Linked DNA regions of Yarrowia lipolytica. The protein of the gene in region 2 purifies or fractionates together with the protein of the main gene of each other region. This does not show direct contact. Links are inferred from orthologs where the notes say so. Each region holds a gene or a part of one and is shown on either strand. Other genes may lie near its edges.

Region 1 (6,031 bases), on a different chromosome or scaffold from region 2:
GTAATCGACAAAAGGTGGGTTTTCAATGGTACTGTCTGTCAATTGTGGTACTTTTCGTTTAGTTCACGCAATTCTCCAAACAAATCTGTCCCACGACTAGAATATGAGAGTGGTTGTGTGAGCCCCTTGACATCTCGGGCTAACTGCGGGTTTCGCAAGAGCTCCTGGATCCAGTGTGGCTCGCTTGCCAACGGTGGTCAGCTGGCGAGCTGGAAGTGGGTCCATCCTGAACGGCAGATCTTTGTACTTGAGGACAGACTGGGAGAGTCGGTTAATGCTGCTCGAGGGCCTTGTCGACCACAGACAGTTGTACCGCAGCTTTCATCAGGTGGAGTATCGATTCTGAAGAGCGACAACGTCTCCTTGCTCACGGGTAAAGGGGAGTGGTACAGTCGTTGTAGGATAGGGAGTGAGAGAGGAACGGACGGTATTGTGGAGAGGGTTTCCGAAGTGCAGAGTACACTCAGTCGAAGATGTAATGAGGAAAGCACTTGTGGTGGTGGTGACAAGACTGTGGTTCCACCAAGTACCCTTGAGATCTTCTAGATGGTGTTCCAATACGATTATCGTGGGTGCATCGGTGTGGGTAATGACTATGCTTAAGAAGTTGCCTCTGGATGCTGTGTTAGTTGTACAGTGTCTCCATCTCTCTCTGCGTCTTTCTGTGTCTGTCCGTGTCTGTCTAGGTCTGTCTGTGTCTCAATATCAGTCTGTCTGTGTGCTTTCGGGCCATTTAGGAGGAATACTTGGATATGGATATCTGAATTATTTATCTTGAATAAAAAAAAGGTAAAAAATAAAAAATAAATAAATAAATAAATAAAAAATTCTGAAAAAACGCTACAAGTACAAACTACAGCTGAGGTACTGTGCCGGTACAGTACAATCTACTTATGAGGTCAATAAAACAATCTATTAATATTTTTGTGCAACTTCAGTCGGCAGACGTTGTGCTAGAGTGACGCCAGAGCCGATGCCAAAACGGCATTCTGATGGGCACATTAGTCGACTTGCAGAGCCTGACCCGCACTTTTGGATGACCTGGTGCGATATCTCCGAGCCGAACCAACGTAAGTCAGAGCCCTCCAGCTCCAGGCCTAGGCGCCGTGGTTCTCACCCGTCCTGCTTACTCATCCTCCTCCTCCTCATCATCATCATCCTCATCAACATCCATCTGAGCAAAAGCATCATTCTTGGACTCTGGGCCAAACCAGCCCTCCTCGTCATCATCATCGTCATCATCCTCGTCTTCAACCTCCATTTCGGTCTCGATGGGAACCAGAACCTCGTCGGGCTCTCCAGTAATCATTCTGGACTCGTCGACCGGAACAGACGGCTTCGACCCGAGCAAAAACTCGGCAGAATACCCGTTGGTGCCCGCCAGTCGAGCAACCTCCTTGTTGACCCGGGTGACAAACTTCTGCACCGCCCGCAACACCTGGGCGTACTCGTGCTTGCGCTGGGCCATGTGCCGCCCATGCGCGGTAATCACGGCCTTGATCCACCGCAGATGGAACTCGGCATGGGGAGTAGCCTCAGTTGCAGAGGCCAGGAATCGCAGAAACCTTTCGAGATAGACGACCGGAAGTCCCCGCGCGACCCGCTCAATGGTGTCGACGGGAATGGACTCGTAGACACGCTGAATGAGCCGCGGAACGTTCAGTCGATGGGCCATGACCAGCGCAATCAGATACTCCTTGTTTTCCAGCGCCTCCATCGTGGTCTGGGGAGTCACGTCCACGTCCAGATCAAAGGGATCGAACATGAGCTCGTCGTCGATGGAGTACATGAGCAGACCCTCGGTGGAGGCTGCAGCAAACTGGCGACCGGTGGGCGAGAACTTGATGCCGGTGGTACGAATCTCGGGCCGGGTGCGTCGTTTGGACTTGTCGCCGCGAACCACGCCCGGAAGAGTGTCGTCCACGCGGTCCTCCCAGTCGGACCCGTCTGGGTCGTTGATCAGATTCAGAGCGCCGGCCTCGGTCATGTTCTTTGAGTTGAGGTAGTCTAGAGTGCCCTCCAGAGACATATTTCGCGACACCTCGAACCGCTTGAGCAAGACGCCCGACTGCACGTCGTACAGGCAAATGAACCGCGAGTTGCCGCCGGCAATCAGACACTTGCCGTCGGCGGAGTAGGTCATGCAGGTAAAGTACTTGGAGCGCGCCGAGTTTTTGGCAGAGAACCGGTCCGACGAGTGCCGCCCACCGCTAATGTCCTTGGCTCCATCAATGCTACCCACCTGCTTGCCCTCCTCAATGTCCCACACGGAGATTTCGCCGTTGAGTGTGGACACCGACAGCTGCTTGGAGTCGGGCCGCATCACCACCTGGAGCACGTCCGACGTGAGCTGGAACGGCTCCACCGTCTGCGTACGCGCAAAAATGTTCCACACCCGCACCGTGTGGTCCCACGACGCGGAGGCCAGAATTGACGCGTTGGCGATTTCGGCGCCAAAAGACAGACACGAGACGGGACCCTCGTGTCCGGCCAGCGTGTCCAGCAATTGGCTTGTCTGCACACTCCACACGTAGATGTCAAAGTTGTCCAGCGAGCCAGCGCACACCACCTCGCCGGAGGGGTCCACGGCCAGGGACGAAAACTGGACTCGCTCGGGGGCAGCAAAGGTGCGGAAGTTGCGGTACCGAATGAGATCCCAGGCGCGCACGGAGCCGTCCAAGGACGCCGAAAACAACACGTTGCCCTTGCGGGAGAACTCCAGGGCGGTGACCGCTGCCGAGTGCTCGGTGAACGTGACCAGGCAGAACCCCGACGAGGTGTCCCACAGCTTGATTTTGCCGTCCTCCGACGCGGTTACCACCTTGCTGCCGTCCGGAGAGTACACGAGGGAGTTCATAGAGTCAAAGTGGCCCTGCTGCTTGAGAATGTACGACTCGGATTGCCACTCCCACACCAGCAGCTGGCCCAGCTTGCTCGCGCCCAGCGCCATCCACTCTCCCGTGGAGTTGATGGTAACAAAGTCAATGCCGTGCTGAGACACGGACATGGTCTGGATCTGCGTCATGGACGGCAGCTCGTACATGGCAAAGGTGCCGTTGGCAAACCCCACCACCAGAATGTTCGATTTGGCGTGGAACGCCGAGCACTTGAGCACCGACTGCTGGTGGAAGTAGTGCCGGTCTTTGATTTTCCACCCCACAAAGCCGTCGTCACCGTCGTCGTTATCGTCATACGCCCACTCGAAACAGGCGCCGTCCTTGGATACCGTGTAGATGGTCTCCTGGTCCTGCGAAAAGAAGGCGTTGGTGATGGTGTCTCGATGACCGCCCAGCGTTGCTGCGGCGCCCGAGTCCTTATCCATCAGCGACCACACGCGGCACGTCAAGTCCTTGGACGTGGTCAGAAAGAACCGCGAGTCGTCGGACCACGTAATCGACGTGATCTCGGCAAAATGGCCCTCGTAGCGCTTGTGGCGCACAAACGGCGCAAACGAGCGGCTGTTTGTGTCGCTGGGGATCGCCCACACCTCCAGCCGCGCACCAATGTTGATGGCAAAGTACTGCGAGTCCGGCGAAAATTGAACGTCCGACACCACGTCGCGGAAATTGAAATGATGGATCACCGTCCGTCGCTTGAAGTTGACCAGAATCGCCTTGCCGTCGTCCGACACTGTCAGCATCAGCGAGCCCTGCGCATTCAGAGCAATGCACGTGATGTTGCGCCGGTGCTCGTACGGGAACGTGAAGGAGGTGTTCTTCACCAGATCGAAATACGACACCCGGTTGCCCACCGGCGAAAGCAGCGCCGTGCCGTCAGGCGTAAACACCAGGTTTCCCTGCCGATACACGGTCCCCAACAGATTCGAAAATTTGTAGTCCGCCTTCATGTCTGTGTAGTACGGGAAATGTGTCTAGGTGGTTCTGTTGTCTGGGTGGAGTTGTGTGAGTAGAAAAAATATGCACGATTTCGATTTTTTTTAAACAAGGTTTGGGGGAGGGCGGAAGAGGTCATAATCTGTGCCTGAGGGGGGAGCACGTCGGAGAGAGTTGAAGGGTATCATTGCGTTACTCTCGTCGAGACGAACAAAATGATATGTTTGGATTTTCTGTGGGAGTTGTCGTTGCAATGTTGGGCCGGAAGAGTCAGAGTGGCAATATTTTTCAGTGAAAAATCTTATTTAAATAAATCGAAATAAATGAGCGTGAATTGAAGTCACTCGTTGTGGTTGGTAGAAAAGAGAAATGGGAAAGATGTACCTCATTTTGTGGTCTCCGGATGATTCTCAACGACATGATACGTTTGAATTACATTTGTGGTGATTGTGAACATGTTTGGATCGCACTGGCCACTGTGAATGGACTCTGTAGGACCACTAACCAATGATCGCATAAACACAGTACAAATAGCCAATGACATCAACGGAAACAATCGTAGTATTGATCCCGCCAACCATAGAAACATAATGACCCTCTTCCGAGTCCAATCGGAGCACTATTCGTGGATATAGATGGATCTTGCTGGATCAGTACTCTAGCCCCATCCAATAGTGAACCGGTCAAGACCAACTCGACGAATAATGGACGCATAGGAATTCTAAAAGAACCATCAGACTCGCAGAGAAAAAAGCTCTCGACTCCTTGTTCAAGTCCCGTGATTCATCTCTTCTCCGCCACGCCCTTTTGCAATCACGTTCAGGGTCCCCACTAGCGACATTAGTCTGGGATGGTTGTGTGGAATTAGGAGTCTGGTAGTTTTTGATCCAGTGGCTTTATGGCTTATATAATTATATCAAAATACTCCCTGGCTTGCGGAGAGTTCAATGGTGGCATTTTTATCTTTCTCCGACCACTATCAGGTCCCCAAAATCGGTATTGTAGACTTCCATCACTGCTAAGTTTAGACGATGGTCTAACTTTTTTAGTTCGAAAGCTGATAACGTGAAATTTATCCTGGAGACTAATTATTGTTCCAGAAACTTCCAGCTTTGATATCTAGTGATTTCGAGCAACATTGAGACCACAATATCCACTGTTGCTGTTGTTGTACCTCGGCTCATGTTGGAAATAAGGTTTACAGATTGCCGTATACGTGCAGGAGAACTGCGACGCCCAAGATTCCGCGCGACATGTTCGGACCCGGAGGAGATAATGTGGCCGTTCGGGGTGTCGTTGGGTTTGTCTCGAGCTGACTAGACGATTTCCGGCGTCGAAATTCCAATCAAAGTAATATTGACAAAGTTGAGGCTCAACGATCCGGGAACGTCACGTGACCGTCGGGGGAAGCGAGATATTTTCCCATTCTTGATTGCCTCAAGCTCTCATTTGGCGTGCATTTTCTGCTGTATCTGTATTTCCGTTTTTGTACTGAAAAGTAGAGGGTTTGGGGGAGCAATTATGAGCGACGCGTTTGGAGTGGGTTTAAAGGGGTTGATCCGGGGACGGTTGGCGTGTGAGCAATCTTGGGGGTCTCAGATGGTTGTTGCGACCGCCAGCTGAGTGCTGGAGTTGCTGTTGCTGGAGTTGCTAGAGTTGCTGGAGTGACTGTTGCAGGGTGCATGTGTGCTCGGAGTTATCGGAGATAAGCCGCCTGAGGGGCGAGGAGAGGGGCTAGGTTGATTTTGAAAAGCGGACTTGTCTCACTTCGGTTCAAAGGACAGAATTGTATGGTTTTCCCGCCGATAGGGAGTCATTTATGTGGTTTGGAGTCGCCATGTTTGGTTGTGGTTGCGGCGGTCCGGTTCGATTGCGCCATTTACCATTGGAGCGAAATAAACCCTGGGGCGATTAACACGGTATTAGAGATGTGCGGAAAGGGCTGAAATGAGCGGGACGGGGGGATTTACTTTTGTAGCCACGCGTCTTTTGGTGTTTGGAGGGAGATGAGTTATTTACAGAGTGGAGAGGGGGGTGGGGGGAGGTTGAATGGAGGTGGGTCCAGCTTGGGATTGGACCGGTTAAATGGGACGAGGGGAGTTAGGCATGGGTTCGCAGCGGTTTCAGCTCCATTTCGCATGTCTCGGCGTTCGAATCGGGACTCTCTCCAAGACGCAGTATTCAAAGGGTTTGCCAGT
Region 2 (4,345 bases):
GTACGCCGCATTTTGGACATTTGGGTTGGTCAACAACGTGCTCTATGTGGTTATCTTGACCGCCGCAGTAGACCTGGTGGGACCTCAAACACCCAAGGCCGTGGTGTTACTGGCCGACGTACTCCCATCGTTCTTGATAAAGCTGGCAGCACCATTTTTTATCCACAAAATCCCCTATAACCGCCGAATAACATTGCTGGTTGGCCTGTCAACTGTGGGAATGATGTCTGTGTCACTAGCATCTCCTCTGTTTCTCAAACTCGTGGGAGTGGTGCTGGCTTCTTTCTCTTCCGGTCTGGGCGAGGTCACCTTTCTCCAATTAACCCATTTTTACGATACCAGGGCTCTCAATGGGTGGAGCAGCGGAACTGGAGGTGCAGGGCTAGTGGGTAGCGGGCTGTTCATGCTCTTGACCACGGTACTCGGAGTTTCAGTCAAGACGTCATTGCTTGTCTTTGCATTCTTTCCCCTGGCCTTCTTAGGAGTCTACTTCTATCTCCTTCCTCCTAGAGATTATAACCGTGTACCAGGGGCCTTCCCTGTGCACAGCAATGACCCTGAAACAGGTATTGAAACACAGCCAATCACCTGGGAGTTTGTTGCTTCTGGATACGAAACTACAATGGTCCGTTTGAAGCCGCTGGTTATGCCTTACATGCTGCCTTTGTTTCTGGTCTACTTTTCCGAGTACACCATCAACCAGGGAGTGGCACCCACACTTCTGTTTCCCATGGAAGAGTTGCCCTTTTCTAAGTTCAGAGATGTCTATGTGACCTATGGAACACTATACCAGTTGGGAGTATTTATCTCACGTTCGAGTGCACCATTTGTGAGAATTAGACGAATTATGATCCCCTCAGTGCTCCAGTTTGCCAACCTCGTGTTTTGCATTGCACAGTCTATGTCACCGATATTACCCAACGTCTGGCTGGTGTTCATTCTCATATTCTACGAAGGGCTGCTTGGGGGAGCTGCCTATGTCAACACCTTTCTGCTGATTACCGAACAGGCTGATTTGGCAGAGCGAGAGTTTGCTCTTGGTAGTGTTGGTATGAGTGATTCTGCCGGTATTGTTCTTGCTGGTCTAGTCAGTCTCTGGCTTGAGCCTGGACTGTGTAACTACCAGGTTAATGATGGTCGAGGTTGGTGCACTTTAGAATAGCTCTCTAGCCTAGCTAGTTAATTTATTTTAACCAAGTTATGCATTACAAATCTATTTTACTGAACAAGCAAGCTACTCCACGGATCGCTTCTTCTTCTTCTTCTTTTTCTCTCCCTCATCGTCGCTGTCATCGCTCTTTCGCTTCTTCTCCTTCTTCTCCTTCTTCTCCTTCTTTTCCTTCTTTTCCTTCTTTTCCTTCTTCTCCTTCTTCTTTTCCTTCTTGGCCTTCTCTTCGTCCTCGTCTGGCGCAATGAAGGCCAGCTCTCTCTGGGCCTGCTTCTCTGCACTTCGAGCAGCCTGCTGTTGTCGCTTCTCCTCGTCGGCTCGTCGTCGCTTCTCATCGGCACCCAAGAAGAACTCTCCAGACTCGATCTGCAAATCCACCTTTCGGGGCAGCTGGGCAGGAGGGAAAGCGGTTCGAACCTTGTTCTTGATGGTCTTGGGCTTCTTTCGAGCAACATTTCGCTTCTTGAACTGGGGCAGGAAACGGCTCCAGTCCTCCTCGGCTAGCTCGGGTCGCTTGGCCAGCTCTCGCTTGATCATGAGCTCCTTGATGTGGTAAATGGGGTGGATGTTCATCATACAGTCCTCAATCACTCGTCGCAGAGTCTTCATATGTGTGTAGGGACCCATGACAGAGACGGTGTTACCCTGAACAAGGATATAGCACTGTGTGAGCAGTTCCAGGGCCTTGAGAGTGTTACCGTTGGGTCCAAGAAGACGCTGTCGTCGCTTGACAAATCTCTCCTTGTTGCTGGTGAAGTTACCAATCTTGATAACGTCACATGCAATGCCGTCCTCGAGAATCTTGACTGCCTGGGGGAAAGGCACCGATCGGGCCAGCAGCTTGATGAGATCTCGAGCGTTCATAATGGCGTAAGGATCGTAAGTTTTTCGGGTGGTTTTGACGGTCATGGAACCCTCAACGAGATCCAGAACACATGCAATACCCTTTTGGTCGAGGGCTTTGGTGACATCATCCCAGATTTCCTTTAGGTAGCCTTCTCGGTACTTGGGGAACAGTGTGGCGAAGGAAGACTCCTCGGCAAAGGGCAGACCGGAAGCGTTGTCCTTCTCGGTGAACTCATCCTCGGCCCACTTATCAATGTGGGGCTGATCCCATGGCTTGTCTTTGTTATGAGTAGAGACCATTGTCGGCTGTGTAGTGTGTCGTGAAACTGTCTACCTTGGACGAGATAAATTTGTCGCATGAAAACTCAATTTTTTTTCTATCAGAGTTTGGCGGATTGGAATTAGTAGTTAGGTAATCAATAGCTACTTGGGAAATTAGTTTAGAGGTGGCACACACCAAAATTAAGTTTATGCACGTTGAACCACCTAAAGAGAAATATTTTGAGAGGCGTTGCCATACAACACAACCACAGACATTACACAACCATGGCAAAGACTAACGTGACAAAATCAAAGGCCAGAGCAGGTCCATTTTCCAGACCAACACGTGACAAGACTGGTGGTGTAAAAAAGACAGCCAAAAAGCCGGTGCCTAAACAGAAGAGCCAGAAACACAAGGACTCGGCTCTGCTGGATCTCGTCAACGATCCAGATGCTCTCAAGGATGTCTACTCTGTTAAATCCAAGGAGACACTGAAGAAGGAAAAGAGCGAGGCCCTTCTGAAACAGAAGGAGGAAGAACGAGAGAAGCGGCTCGTCACCAAGAAGGAGCTTGAGAAGCAGATGGACGACCTGGCCAGTTTTGGCCTCTAACAGATGGACCGATATATAGGTCTACGAATATATTTATTGCATTTTTGACAAACGATTTGGTGGCGTACAGTATATCACAGGATAGTGTGCTTTCAGATTATTAGCAGGGCTGGCCACCGCGTGCAGTAGCTAAATACTGTACTGTACTTGAACTAACTGCACATACGGAAGCTACGATAATATACAATTGAGTAGTAAAATAAATATAAATAAATAACTGGCCAGATAATAACGGGTCTCGCGTTTCTAGGCCTTGATAATCATGCCTCGTCTGTCCTTGCCTGCCCTGGAACGAGAAAACCATCCTGTCTTGAGCACCTTCACCAGCTCGTCCATCTTTTGCTGTTGCGCATCAGCACTCAGAATGGAGGCCAAGATGGAGAAACACTGTAAGAGTCTAACGGGAGTGTTGGCTCCCTGAGAAGATAGCTCGAAATTGGAAATGATTCGAGTCAACCGCTCAGAGTGAGGGAGAATGATGTAGTCTCTGAACGCACACAGAGTCATGAGACGAATGTTCAGCTGATCACGGTCCATGAGCAACATACCCCAGAACTTCTCGCTCTCTTCGGGCTTCATGCTCTTTCCGTAACCATCGAACTCCTGCTGAAGAGGCAGAAAGACACCCTCCCAGTAAGGGAGCACGTCTGAGAAGAAGTGACCCCAAACTGTCGTCAGGTGAGCAATAAGCTTGTCATCTGGCACACGGGACATAGTAGAGTCCAGCGTATACATGCCAGATCTCAGCAGGTCCTTGAATTCTTGCAACAAAGACTTGGCTGTGACATGCTCCTGGATCCGCAGATTAGTGTGCATCACCACCAGCTTGTTGAGATCTTCAATGGGGACTCGGATGCCTTCACCTGAAAACAAGGGAAGCACTCGAGAACACAGAAGCGCCCATGCGTCGTCAGCGAGCTGTTCCTTATCCTCCTTGGTCTGGTTGAAATTCTTGAGTTCCAGAGCACTGGAAAAACTCTTGTGTAAAGCACCAGGTGAGGAGCTCTGGAACGAGTATAAGGAACCGCCCTGTTCGTTGATGAGCTTGGAGTTGGACGAAGACGAAGACATGAAGGCAGCCGCAGAATGCACATCCTTCTTGGCTCTCAGCAGAATGGAGTGGGCCTTGTTTTTCGCACTGGGAGAGTCATCCTTAGCTCCGGCTGTCAAGGGATGGTTGTAATCTCCTCTGCCAGACGCCATGGTTGGCGTGATGGGTACGTTGCTGCCGATGCTTGCAATTCGTTCCAGTTCCTTGGAAGGTCTGTTCAGTGGACTTCTTTCTGCTAGTGAAGGACGAGTGCTGGGGAGTTGTGTCTGAATAGTAAGGTCAATGTTGCCTTTGCGCTTGAGTTTGGGCTTTAAACTCTTGGCTGACGATTGTTGTTTTGCTTGTTTGGCAAACAGCTTTGCCTTAAACAGAGCCGACTGTTTAGAGGGCACATTGGGGGCATACGC
Region 3 (4,885 bases), on a different chromosome or scaffold from region 2:
ATCAGCACACCTAAACTACACACAATGTTCCGAAGCAGAGTTTCTGGCGTTTTCCAGCAGGTGCGATTCCAGTCCACCGCTGCCTCCAAGGCTGCCTCCAAGGCCCAGGGTCTCGGAGCCAAGGTCCAGGGTGAGTATTTCTCGAGCTAGGAGACTTTTCGATTTTCCGGCGATAACAAGCAACACAGCTGCGTATATGGGGGTCGGGGATGGACAAGTGCAAGGAGAGTGTGGCACGAGAGTGTCCTGTTTTGATTGGATGTGATTGTGGTGTTTACCGGTGCTACCAGATGGTGTTTCATCAGCTTGACGTGTCGGAAGTTGTGAACGACGACACTAGACACGTGATAGAGACGAGTACACTAGTGCGACATCGTTAGCAGTTCCAGTGTCATCAGCGGCCCACCTCATTGGAATCAATCTCGTTCAGTACTCCGATCAACACCCTATCCACTCCGGGAATCTGTATCTGTTCTACTCCTCGAATCATGCCACTACTCCAAGGCAGTCAACCCCCAACATTATACTAACTCAGGCATCACCAACTGTGCCGTCTACTGGGCCAAGGTCACCGGTGAGCTCGGAAAGCAGATCTACCTCAAGGAGGGCTTTGCTCCCCCCTCTCTTTCTCAGTTCCAGTCTGTCTACCAGAACCTGTTCAACTCCGTCAAGTCTTACGCCCTCAAGCCCCAGAAGGTCATTGACTGTGCTGAGTCCATCACCAAGACTGACGCTCTCCGATACACTGCCTACGGTGTCCAGATCCTCGGTCTCTTCACCCTCGGTGAGGTTATCGGCCGACGAAACGTCATTGGCTACAAGGTCCCCTCTGCTGACAAGCACTAAATTGGACATTAGAAATCCGATTAACATGTAATTTAAAACTGACGCTTTGCGTTTCTATTGAATTGTTCCTGAGTGGTTTTAACGGTGTCGTTTTTCCAGTATCTGACCTATATACTTGTAACAGCTAATTATCTGCCTGTGTGTATGGCTTGCATCGTATGGAAAGTGAAGGGCGTACAGACACAGATCGCACGTCAGCTTTAATACATCTCTACGACAGCTCGCTCCATTTATCTGATGTACATTAGTCTATAGCATGGCCTAGGCGGTCCACAATAACTTATTCGTCGTCCTTCTTCATCTTCTTGAGACCCTTCATCTGCTGTTTGGCCCGCTTCTTCTTGTTGTTAGCCAGAGCATGTTGAGTAGAGATCTTCTTTCGTTTGATGGGTCTGTTTTTGATGTTGTCTCGCTCCTTCTGAGTCAGGGGAGCGAGGTTGTTGAGCCAGTCGGGTACCTCCTGTCCAGACTGCTTCATGACATTGACTACCACCTTGACATTGGTAGCGTCCTCCTTGGTGAAGAAGGTGACGGCCTTGCCGAGTCGGCCAGCTCGACCGGTTCGTCCGATTCGATGCACGTAAGACTGTGCAGACTGGGGTACATCGTAGTTGATGACCAGGTTGATGCCTCGGAAATCGATACCTCGGGCCAGAACGTCGGTACAGATTAGCACCCAGACTTCTCCGTTTCGGAAACGGTCGATGACGGAAGCTCGCTTGGCCGCAGTCATGTCTCCATGGATCTGGTCGACGTTGATTCCGTCGAAAACCAGCTCCTTGAACAGTGCCTTGGCTCGGTCGATGGACTGCAGGAAGATGATGACAGGGGCCACAAGCTGACCCTCTCGGGCCATTTGTCGGATAGCCACAAGCTTACCTTCCTCGTTTCCAGCATACACCAGCTTCTGCTCAACGGTCTGGGCAGCAGCCTGCTTGTTACCGATAATGATACGTAGAGGGTCGGTGCTCATGATACTGTTTGCCAGCTGCTCGACAGAGGCAGGAATGGTTGCGGAGAACAGAGTCTTCTGAATACCCGAGGGGCATGCTGCCAGAATGTCATCGACCTGGGTGGCAAAGCCCTTCTCAAACAGCTTGTCGGCCTCATCGAAGATGACCAGATCCAGGGATCCAAGGTCCAGGCTGCCGTCGTTGAGGGCGGAGACCAGTCTCAGGGGGGTGGTAATGCAAATGTCGTATTTCTGGGAGCTGACTTTTCCGTTTCGCAGCTTGTCGGCCGTGCTCTTGTCCAGCAAGCAGGGTTTCAGCTCGTCCTTCTTTTTTCCAACACCCACGCAGAGCGAGAACACAGCGTTGAAGATCTGAGACGCCAGCTCCTTGGTGGGGGCAACCACCAGTGCCTTGATTCCCTTCTTAGCGTCCTTGGAGCCCTTCTTCTTACCCAGCATCTCCACCATGGGGATGCTGTAGGCCATAGTCTTACCGGAACCAGTTGGAGCACAGGCAATCAGATCTCGGCCGTTCAGCATTGTAGGGATACTCTCGCACTGGATCGGGGTAGGGTCTGTGTACTTGTTCTTCTTGAGGTTGGCCAGAAGATAGGGATGCAAGTTGAATCGAGTGATGAGGTCTTCAAACGACCCAATGGGCAGAGGGGAGTCTTCTCCGGTGATGTTGATCTTGTGCTTGTTTCGGAAAACCACAGCCTCCTCGGGAGTACTGATAATGGGCGGGGGAGCCTCTTCCTCCTCTTCATTGTCCAGCTCAGCCTCCTCAGCTACTCGCTTCTTGGAGTAAGTGTCTGTCTTGGTCTTGAAAAAGTCGGTTTCTCGGGCAACTTCAATGTCGACATTGTCCTGGGTGTCTTTGGGAGCAGCGTGGTTGAGCAGAGTCAGGTCCTTCCTGTGTTTACCGTTTCGCTGGATCGTGGCTCCTCGAGATAGTACTTTGAAGATATCCATGGTGTATGTGGTGAGTGGTAATGTATTTTCACCTGAAAACGATGCTCATGCACTCTCGAGATTTTTTTGTATAAGGTTGGGAGGTGAAACTTAAAACGGCCTATCCTCGCTGAGTAAGTGTTGGGGACTACGGTGGCGAGTATTAGGCGGATTTATTAAGAGAGTACGTAGTTATCAAAAGTGTTTAGTTTCGGCAAATTCTGCATTGTATTATGTGAGCGTTTCTTATCTGCATGTGATATTTTCCAAGTATACGCGATTGCAACTAACAAACCTCCCTGCAGTTATCTGCAAAGGACTTCACTTTTACTTGTAGTTACTTCTCTCAACAAGCCTTCAAGTGAATTACAGTAACGTAACCAATAGCTGGCCTACAGCTACAGTAAGAATCACATTCTTCTAGACCTGCGCCAACGAGATCACGCCACTTTTCCTCTAACCGAGGCTACAGACCCCCGCGGTATCTAACGGCACCAATAGCCGATATCGTCCTTGAAAACCCCTGGTGGACACTTCGTTTTAAACCCTTCTACTCGGGTGGGCTAAAGGCTACAAGATAAGCTAATATAACGGTTACAGAATTGGATCCGAACATTTTACGGGCTCGACAAATGAAAATATTAAATGTACAACATTCCAATTGATGCTATACGGAGTGGGATGCGATAGTCGTCAACTTTGGGATTGTGGGGGCGCGCACCAGCACCTTCTTGGCTCATTTTTCATATATTATTCCTCTATACGGGGCTGATAGACCCTAATGAGTCATATAAGATAGCAGAGCTCTTATGATAGAGCGTTGGATAGCTTGTCTATCGGTTTTCATTAGTAGAATTGTCACGAACACTGTAAAGGCCTCTCTCTACTGCCACAGGGAAATATAACTGCAACAGCTGTAACAAGTCTGCGATCGAATGTCAACTTAGAAGGTAACCCTGTTCGACCCCTTGCGGCCAGTTGAGTTGATTTGAAGCGTATGTTCGAGGACGAGGAGCGGCTGTACAGTACAACTAGTTATACAAGTACTTGTACTCCTCTTCAACCCTTGTCATTGTACAGAGTTATTGTCACTGGGCTGGCAGGCGGTCGGAGACTAAGAAATTATTGTGTGCCAGTCCAGACTATGAGGCTCCTATTTTGAGCTCACAGACTGAGAGACTATTATCAAGTCTGACCAACTAAAAATAGACACAAACTAACTTGAGACCGCCGACCTAGTGGAGCAGCCTCTGATCTTCGTTGTGTAACTTATCCTCCTCAAGATGCTACATTGATTCTGGAAATTAGGGGCCACAGCGCGGTTATGTGGACACCATCTGACAGACACTCCGGAATTTGCACGTGGCGGCAAATCTCGTGTTTTCAAGCAAACTTCTGCACGCTACCGTTGTTCTCTGGTCAACGTTCGTGTTTCATACTGGGCTGTCAGATGGGCTCTATGTTGCCTATTGTACCGTCTTGGAGCTGTCAAACAAATTAGCACTCTTTAGAGGTGTGCTTGTGCGAGCTAGCAGGACAAGGACCGGGGATGATAGCACTATGCTAGTGGGGAGCTCTTTTGTCGGTGATTTGTGTCTACCATACCCATAACAAGCTGGTGCAGTGTCAAAATGGTTTTGGTCTGTGGAAAGCTCCTTGTGTAGGTAAGATTAACCGATTTAAAGGAAGCCTAAAAGTCGGACTACGATGGCCGTGGCGTTCCCCTTCTAAGCCATAAAACCATCCTCTGGACATTCCAGCATTTTCTAATATCATGTAGAGTGCGCCTTGTTCTTGTTTGGGCAAAAGCACAAGGCAAATTGCCTTGGGCGACTTGCGACTCTCCGCTATCTCCAACTGCAGATGTTATGCTGAGGCCTAACTCTGTGGGTGGTATCCCAGATCCTTTCCGAGAGATTAAGTTGGGTTAATCTTTTGTCTTTTGGCAGGGTAATAATGTATACCTGTATGGCGCTCCTCGAGAGAGGCGATCTTCTCGTTAGTTACTCTACCTCATCTTGCTGGTCGAGGTGGGGTGATCCAGAAAAAGAAAGGTTGGCAAATAACTACAGGCAGCAGTGTTTTCACAAACCAAGGAGCAATAAAAAAACGGCCTTCTGCGGCCTAAAACCACCC
Region 4 (4,318 bases), on a different chromosome or scaffold from region 2:
AAAAATATTCACTTGTTCAACTTTTTTGTCAGCCTATGTACGTTCCTCTATGATTGAACCTACAAAAGTCCCTCAGACCAGGTTACACGAAACATACAGTGTGGTAAGTGCTATCACTTTCATAGACTTAGTTCCATATATGTCGCTCCTACATTTCACCAGCAGACCAAGATTGTCCTGTAAACTCATCCAGCCCAATACCAGTACGCTCTAAATAAACTGCGTGAGTATACTAGCAGTGTATATCCGAGAGTCTATCGTAGTTCCACGCACCCCAGTCAACCTTGGAGCACTGCCCGCAGCCGTTTCGAGACGTGTAGCCGAAGTCACCAGGCGGTTTAAACATCACCCAAGAGATTGTCACTGTTTCATGGACCAGAGGAGAATGTAGACGGGATGTTTTCTCGGACTTTCATGAGGAATGAATGATATGTTGATGTTGACGGGTGTCATGAATAGCTGTCTATAACGTCATGTCCGTAGGTATTCATTTTGTCCATAGTATCTGCCGTTACTCGTACAAGTCCTTCGGTATCACGAGCAGCATCGTAGTTGCTACAAGGGCGAGTGCTGTTACCCTTACTCATTCTCCCTTAACCCTTCCACGCATTACTGGTACTTGTAGGTCGTTCCAGTTAACGTACAGTTCCACAGTCTCAAACTCTAGCCACAAGTCAAAGCCTTTGAATTAACCGCCGAACAAGGTGATTATGGGTCTGATATCTATTTTTTTTATCTTCATTTGGTAACTTGTGCTTTATCCCGCCAAACTGCTTTCAATTCAGTCATTCTTTGTGTATGTTTTGAACCCTCTTCTACAAGTATGAGCACACCTGAGTAGTCGATGAAGCTTACTGTAAGACTTCAATACGGTGTCGGGCAAGTACGAGTACGAGTACCGTACTTTTAGGCATTCGTATGGAAACAGGCTATCGCTTTGCTACGGTACGAGTATCGTACCAGTATATACAAGTACTGGTACGATACTGTACGATAATTACCGATTTTACTTGAGACTTATTAGTAGTACCCAGCAGCAGTACGTAGAACTACCGGTACTTGTACTAATCACTACCTATTCCCACCATTCCATTATGTCCATTATCTATATGCCTATTCCTCTATTCTACCGAATCAGACCCTGTCGAGAAGGATGGACACCGGGAGTGCTGGTCTTGGGCTTCTTGGTCTGGGGAGCAAACTCCTTGTGGGCCTTCTTGTGGGCCGAAGCCAGATTCTGTTTCTTCTCGTCCTTTCGAGCCTTGGCCTGGGCTTCAGCCTTGGCCTTCTCCTCGTTAGCAATTCGCTCCGACCGCTCGTCGTCCAGCTTCTGTCGCTTCTCTTGGATCTTGTTTCGTCGGTTGGATGAGTTGCCTCCTCCTCCTGCAGTCAACTCCACGTTGATCTTTCGTCTCATAAGAGTAGAGTGATGCATTCGGAGAGCAACGTTCATCCGTCTGGAGGCGTCGTCGCCCTCAAACTCGAGGAATGCAAACCCCTTGGCATCTCGAATTCGAATCTTGTTAGGAGTGCAGGTCTTAAAATGATCAGCAATCACCTCCTCCTTGATATCATAAGGCAAGTTACCACAGAAAAGAATAAATCGAGCCGCCTTGGCAGCAGGGCCGTTCTCGCCATCCCGCTTTCGCTTCTTGGAACCCTTCTTCTCCTCCTCCTCGGCCTTCTTGGCCTCCTTTTTCTCCTTCTTCTCCTCCTTAAGAGCCTCCACCGTTAACTCTCCCTTCTCGATCTTCTTTTTGGTCTTCTTGAACTCCAAAGCCTTTCGCTCCTTCTTGGATAATTTCGATATGTCAATTTCAGACTCAGTCTTGTCAGCCGCTTTACCTTCAGTCTTGTTCTCTTCAGTCTTGCTCTCATCGGCCTTCTTGTCCTTCTTATCCTTCTTCTCAGACTTGGTCTCGTCAGTTTTTGTCTTGATATCGACCGTTTCTTCGGCCTTCACCTCGTCAGTCACCTCGTCAGTCACCTCGTCAACCACCTTGGCCTGCTTCTTGCTGCTCTTGTCTTTGGATCCCATTGTAAAAGTCGTTGTAGGATGTGTACAGCTGGTAATGGAATAATTTCAGCCTGATAATGCACACCACATAATTTTTCCCAATAAGCTTTGGGTGCATGAGATGAGATGGAGTACAAGAAGTAGAGGGAGAAACATGTTCTCAGTAAACGGGCGAAAACTATGTCTGTGGGTGTTCAAAAAATTATCATGTGGTTTTTATATCCTTCTGTTTGAAGTGTTTTGTTATTACAGTACCCCGCAAATGTCCTTATCAAGAGATGCGCGCGATTTGTTGTGTGCCCGAACCTGTTACACTTCCTGTGCCCTCTACTGTAAATTACGTAATTACAATTACGTAATGTACTTGTGCAATGTACTCAATGTGGCTAAGTAGCTTCCTGGGTTGAAAGTACTGTAGCCTACAGTAAACTAGTCACTCACTCTACTGCATGACTTTTTGCCACAGAAGCTATATCACGCCACCACTCCGCTTGTTTAGCCCAATATATCCCTTCTTTTTCTATATCTTGCTTTTTAATCACAAAATTGGCCATCTCCATCTGTCTCACAGTGTGTGGCTCTTAGTACAACAAGTACAGTAACACAGTGTACTCTCGTTAACCAACCCACTTTCAACGTTCCATTCCAGACGCTATTCTGTGCATAAGTAATAGACATTGTGTTTGGTCGTTCACCATGGAGCCCCTTGTATCGTAGTATAAGAGTCTTTCTATATGTTCCATTGTGCAGGCGAATGTTGTATCTTACGTCACCACCACAGTGTATCTGTAACTACAGTATTGTACAATTGTACATACTCCTATCTTACCAAATTGCACAGTACACTGTACCCAGATCATCATTCTTTATTATATAATCAACATCTCTCCACTCATAACCTCACCCAGTCATCAGCTCGCACATACTCAGGACGATCCTTGCCTCGGAGCAGTGCTTGTAACTACAGTATGTACTCGTAGTGAAAAAGGTTGCCCCTGAAGATGGACAAGAGGATGCACAAGCGCACAAAGAAAAGTAGGGGTGGCACGTGTGAGTGGATGTGACTAAGCAGTTGTGAGGTGGTTACAGTCAAGCCTGGTTCGATGTGAAAGCTCACGTGCATCGTACCATTGCCTTGTCTACAACCTCTTCTCTACTGTAGCTACAAGTACTCGTTAAGCATGCCCACCAGCCGTGTACCCACTTTGAAGCCGTCAGTGGAGCTTAAAGATGAAAAGAAGTAACTGGTCCACATGAGCATATTTATCGTCGTGAATAACAATAGGTTGTAGTGATGGACGAGGTGGAGATGTGGGTTGGTATTGTGCAGCGATCACTCAATACTACTGGTACGGTTCTAGTCTTCATCTTCTATGGTCCTGCTCCTCGTACCTGTCCTTACATCGCTATCATCTCATTATCTCAGCGTCACCATGACGTATGTAGTATGCACACGGTTTTTGGGACGAAAAATTCTGTGACGTTGAACATGTAAGGCGCCAGATATACACGTAATACTGTACCAGATTGAGGAGCAAGAGAGAGCGGTAATTATTCTCACGGAAATGACTTACGTCGTCCACGTAGTATGTATGCTCTTCCAAGACATGTCCCAGGTTCACCAAGTCCATTAGCTACAAATACAGCGATGCTGGTCCAACTGAAATAAAGTACGCACGTCCACCACACGCATGTCTACCAAGCTACTGTACATTAACTCTCATCACCAAAAAGACAACATCAACACATACACTTCACCACGACAAACACAAAAACACACACACAATGAGCCAGAACTGGAGGCGCAAATCGTCCGTGTCGGCGTGGGACAAGCCCGAGGGCGGGTGGTCGCGACGGCAACGAGGAGGGATCATCGCCACGGTGGGAGGCTTCATCGAGGGTTTGGCTACGGCCCTGATACGGCGCAAAATCTTTGTCGTCATTTTTTTGCTGCTGACCCTGCTGTCCTTCTTCACAGCCGTGCCATTTGTGCCGCACTTCAACTGGGGCTCGGGCAAGTACGTGATTATCCTGGCTGCCAACGAGGGTGGAGGAGTCATGCACTGGAAGGGAGCCAAAGAGTGGGCCATCGAGCGAAGCAGCATTGAAAACAAGCGAGAATACGCCGAGCGCCACGGCTACCATCTTGCCGTCAAGGACGTGAGTCTCAAGAAGAGATACTCTCACGAGTGGAGAGAGTCGTGGCAGAAGGTCGACATCATCAAGGAGACCATGCGCCAGTTCCCCAACGCCGAGTGGTTCTGGTGGCTCGATCTGCATACGCTCATCATGGAGCCCCAG

The links. Proteins that work in one complex are often made in the same cells at the same time.
Region 1: the proteins of YALI1_F37963g (region 2) and YALI1_B01839g purify together in Saccharomyces cerevisiae (affinity purification with mass spectrometry; 6 studies listed by BioGRID, with this or other methods). This does not show direct contact. The link is inferred for Yarrowia lipolytica from reciprocal best matches to the Saccharomyces cerevisiae genes KRR1 and PWP2.
Region 3: the proteins of YALI1_F37963g (region 2) and YALI1_B28053g purify together in Saccharomyces cerevisiae (affinity purification with mass spectrometry, with the first as the bait; 4 studies listed by BioGRID). This does not show direct contact. The link is inferred for Yarrowia lipolytica from reciprocal best matches to the Saccharomyces cerevisiae genes KRR1 and ROK1.
Region 4: the proteins of YALI1_F37963g (region 2) and YALI1_E30707g purify together in Saccharomyces cerevisiae (affinity purification with mass spectrometry; 4 studies listed by BioGRID). This does not show direct contact. The link is inferred for Yarrowia lipolytica from reciprocal best matches to the Saccharomyces cerevisiae genes KRR1 and NOP6.

The regions. Positions count from the first base shown.
Region 1 is NC_090771.1:181,768-187,798, reverse strand, and holds YALI1_B01839g (uncharacterized protein), read right to left. Parts: upstream 3,848-6,031; coding exon 1,127-3,847; downstream 1-1,126. Other genes in the region: YALI1_B01878g (uncharacterized protein), read left to right, coding at 1-546; YALI1_B01826g (uncharacterized protein), read left to right, coding at 5,016-5,133, 5,185-5,456; YALI1_B01822g (uncharacterized protein), read left to right, coding at 5,516-5,519, 5,565-5,779. UniProt on the Saccharomyces cerevisiae protein: Required for bud-site selection and cell separation. Also involved in nucleolar processing of pre-18S ribosomal RNA.
Region 2 is NC_090775.1:3,794,319-3,798,663, reverse strand, and holds YALI1_F37963g (90S preribosome/SSU processome component KRR1), read right to left. Parts: upstream 2,315-4,345; coding exon 1,235-2,314; downstream 1-1,234. Other genes in the region: YALI1_F37986g (uncharacterized protein), read left to right, coding at 1-1,162; YALI1_F37929g (uncharacterized protein), read right to left, coding at 3,134-4,345. UniProt on the Saccharomyces cerevisiae protein: Required for 40S ribosome biogenesis. Involved in nucleolar processing of pre-18S ribosomal RNA and ribosome assembly. Essential for vegetative growth.
Region 3 is NC_090771.1:2,802,520-2,807,404, forward strand, and holds YALI1_B28053g (uncharacterized protein), read right to left. Parts: upstream 2,771-4,885; coding exon 1,127-2,770; downstream 1-1,126. Other genes in the region: YALI1_B28025g (uncharacterized protein), read left to right, coding at 25-130, 536-846. UniProt on the Saccharomyces cerevisiae protein: ATP-dependent RNA helicase involved in 40S ribosomal subunit biogenesis. Required for the processing and cleavage of 35S pre-rRNA at sites A0, A1, and A2, leading to mature 18S rRNA.
Region 4 is NC_090774.1:3,068,728-3,073,045, forward strand, and holds YALI1_E30707g (uncharacterized protein), read right to left. Parts: upstream 2,039-4,318; coding exon 1,127-2,038; downstream 1-1,126. Other genes in the region: YALI1_E30725g (uncharacterized protein), read left to right, coding at 3,803-4,318. UniProt on the Saccharomyces cerevisiae protein: Predicted to be involved in rRNA processing.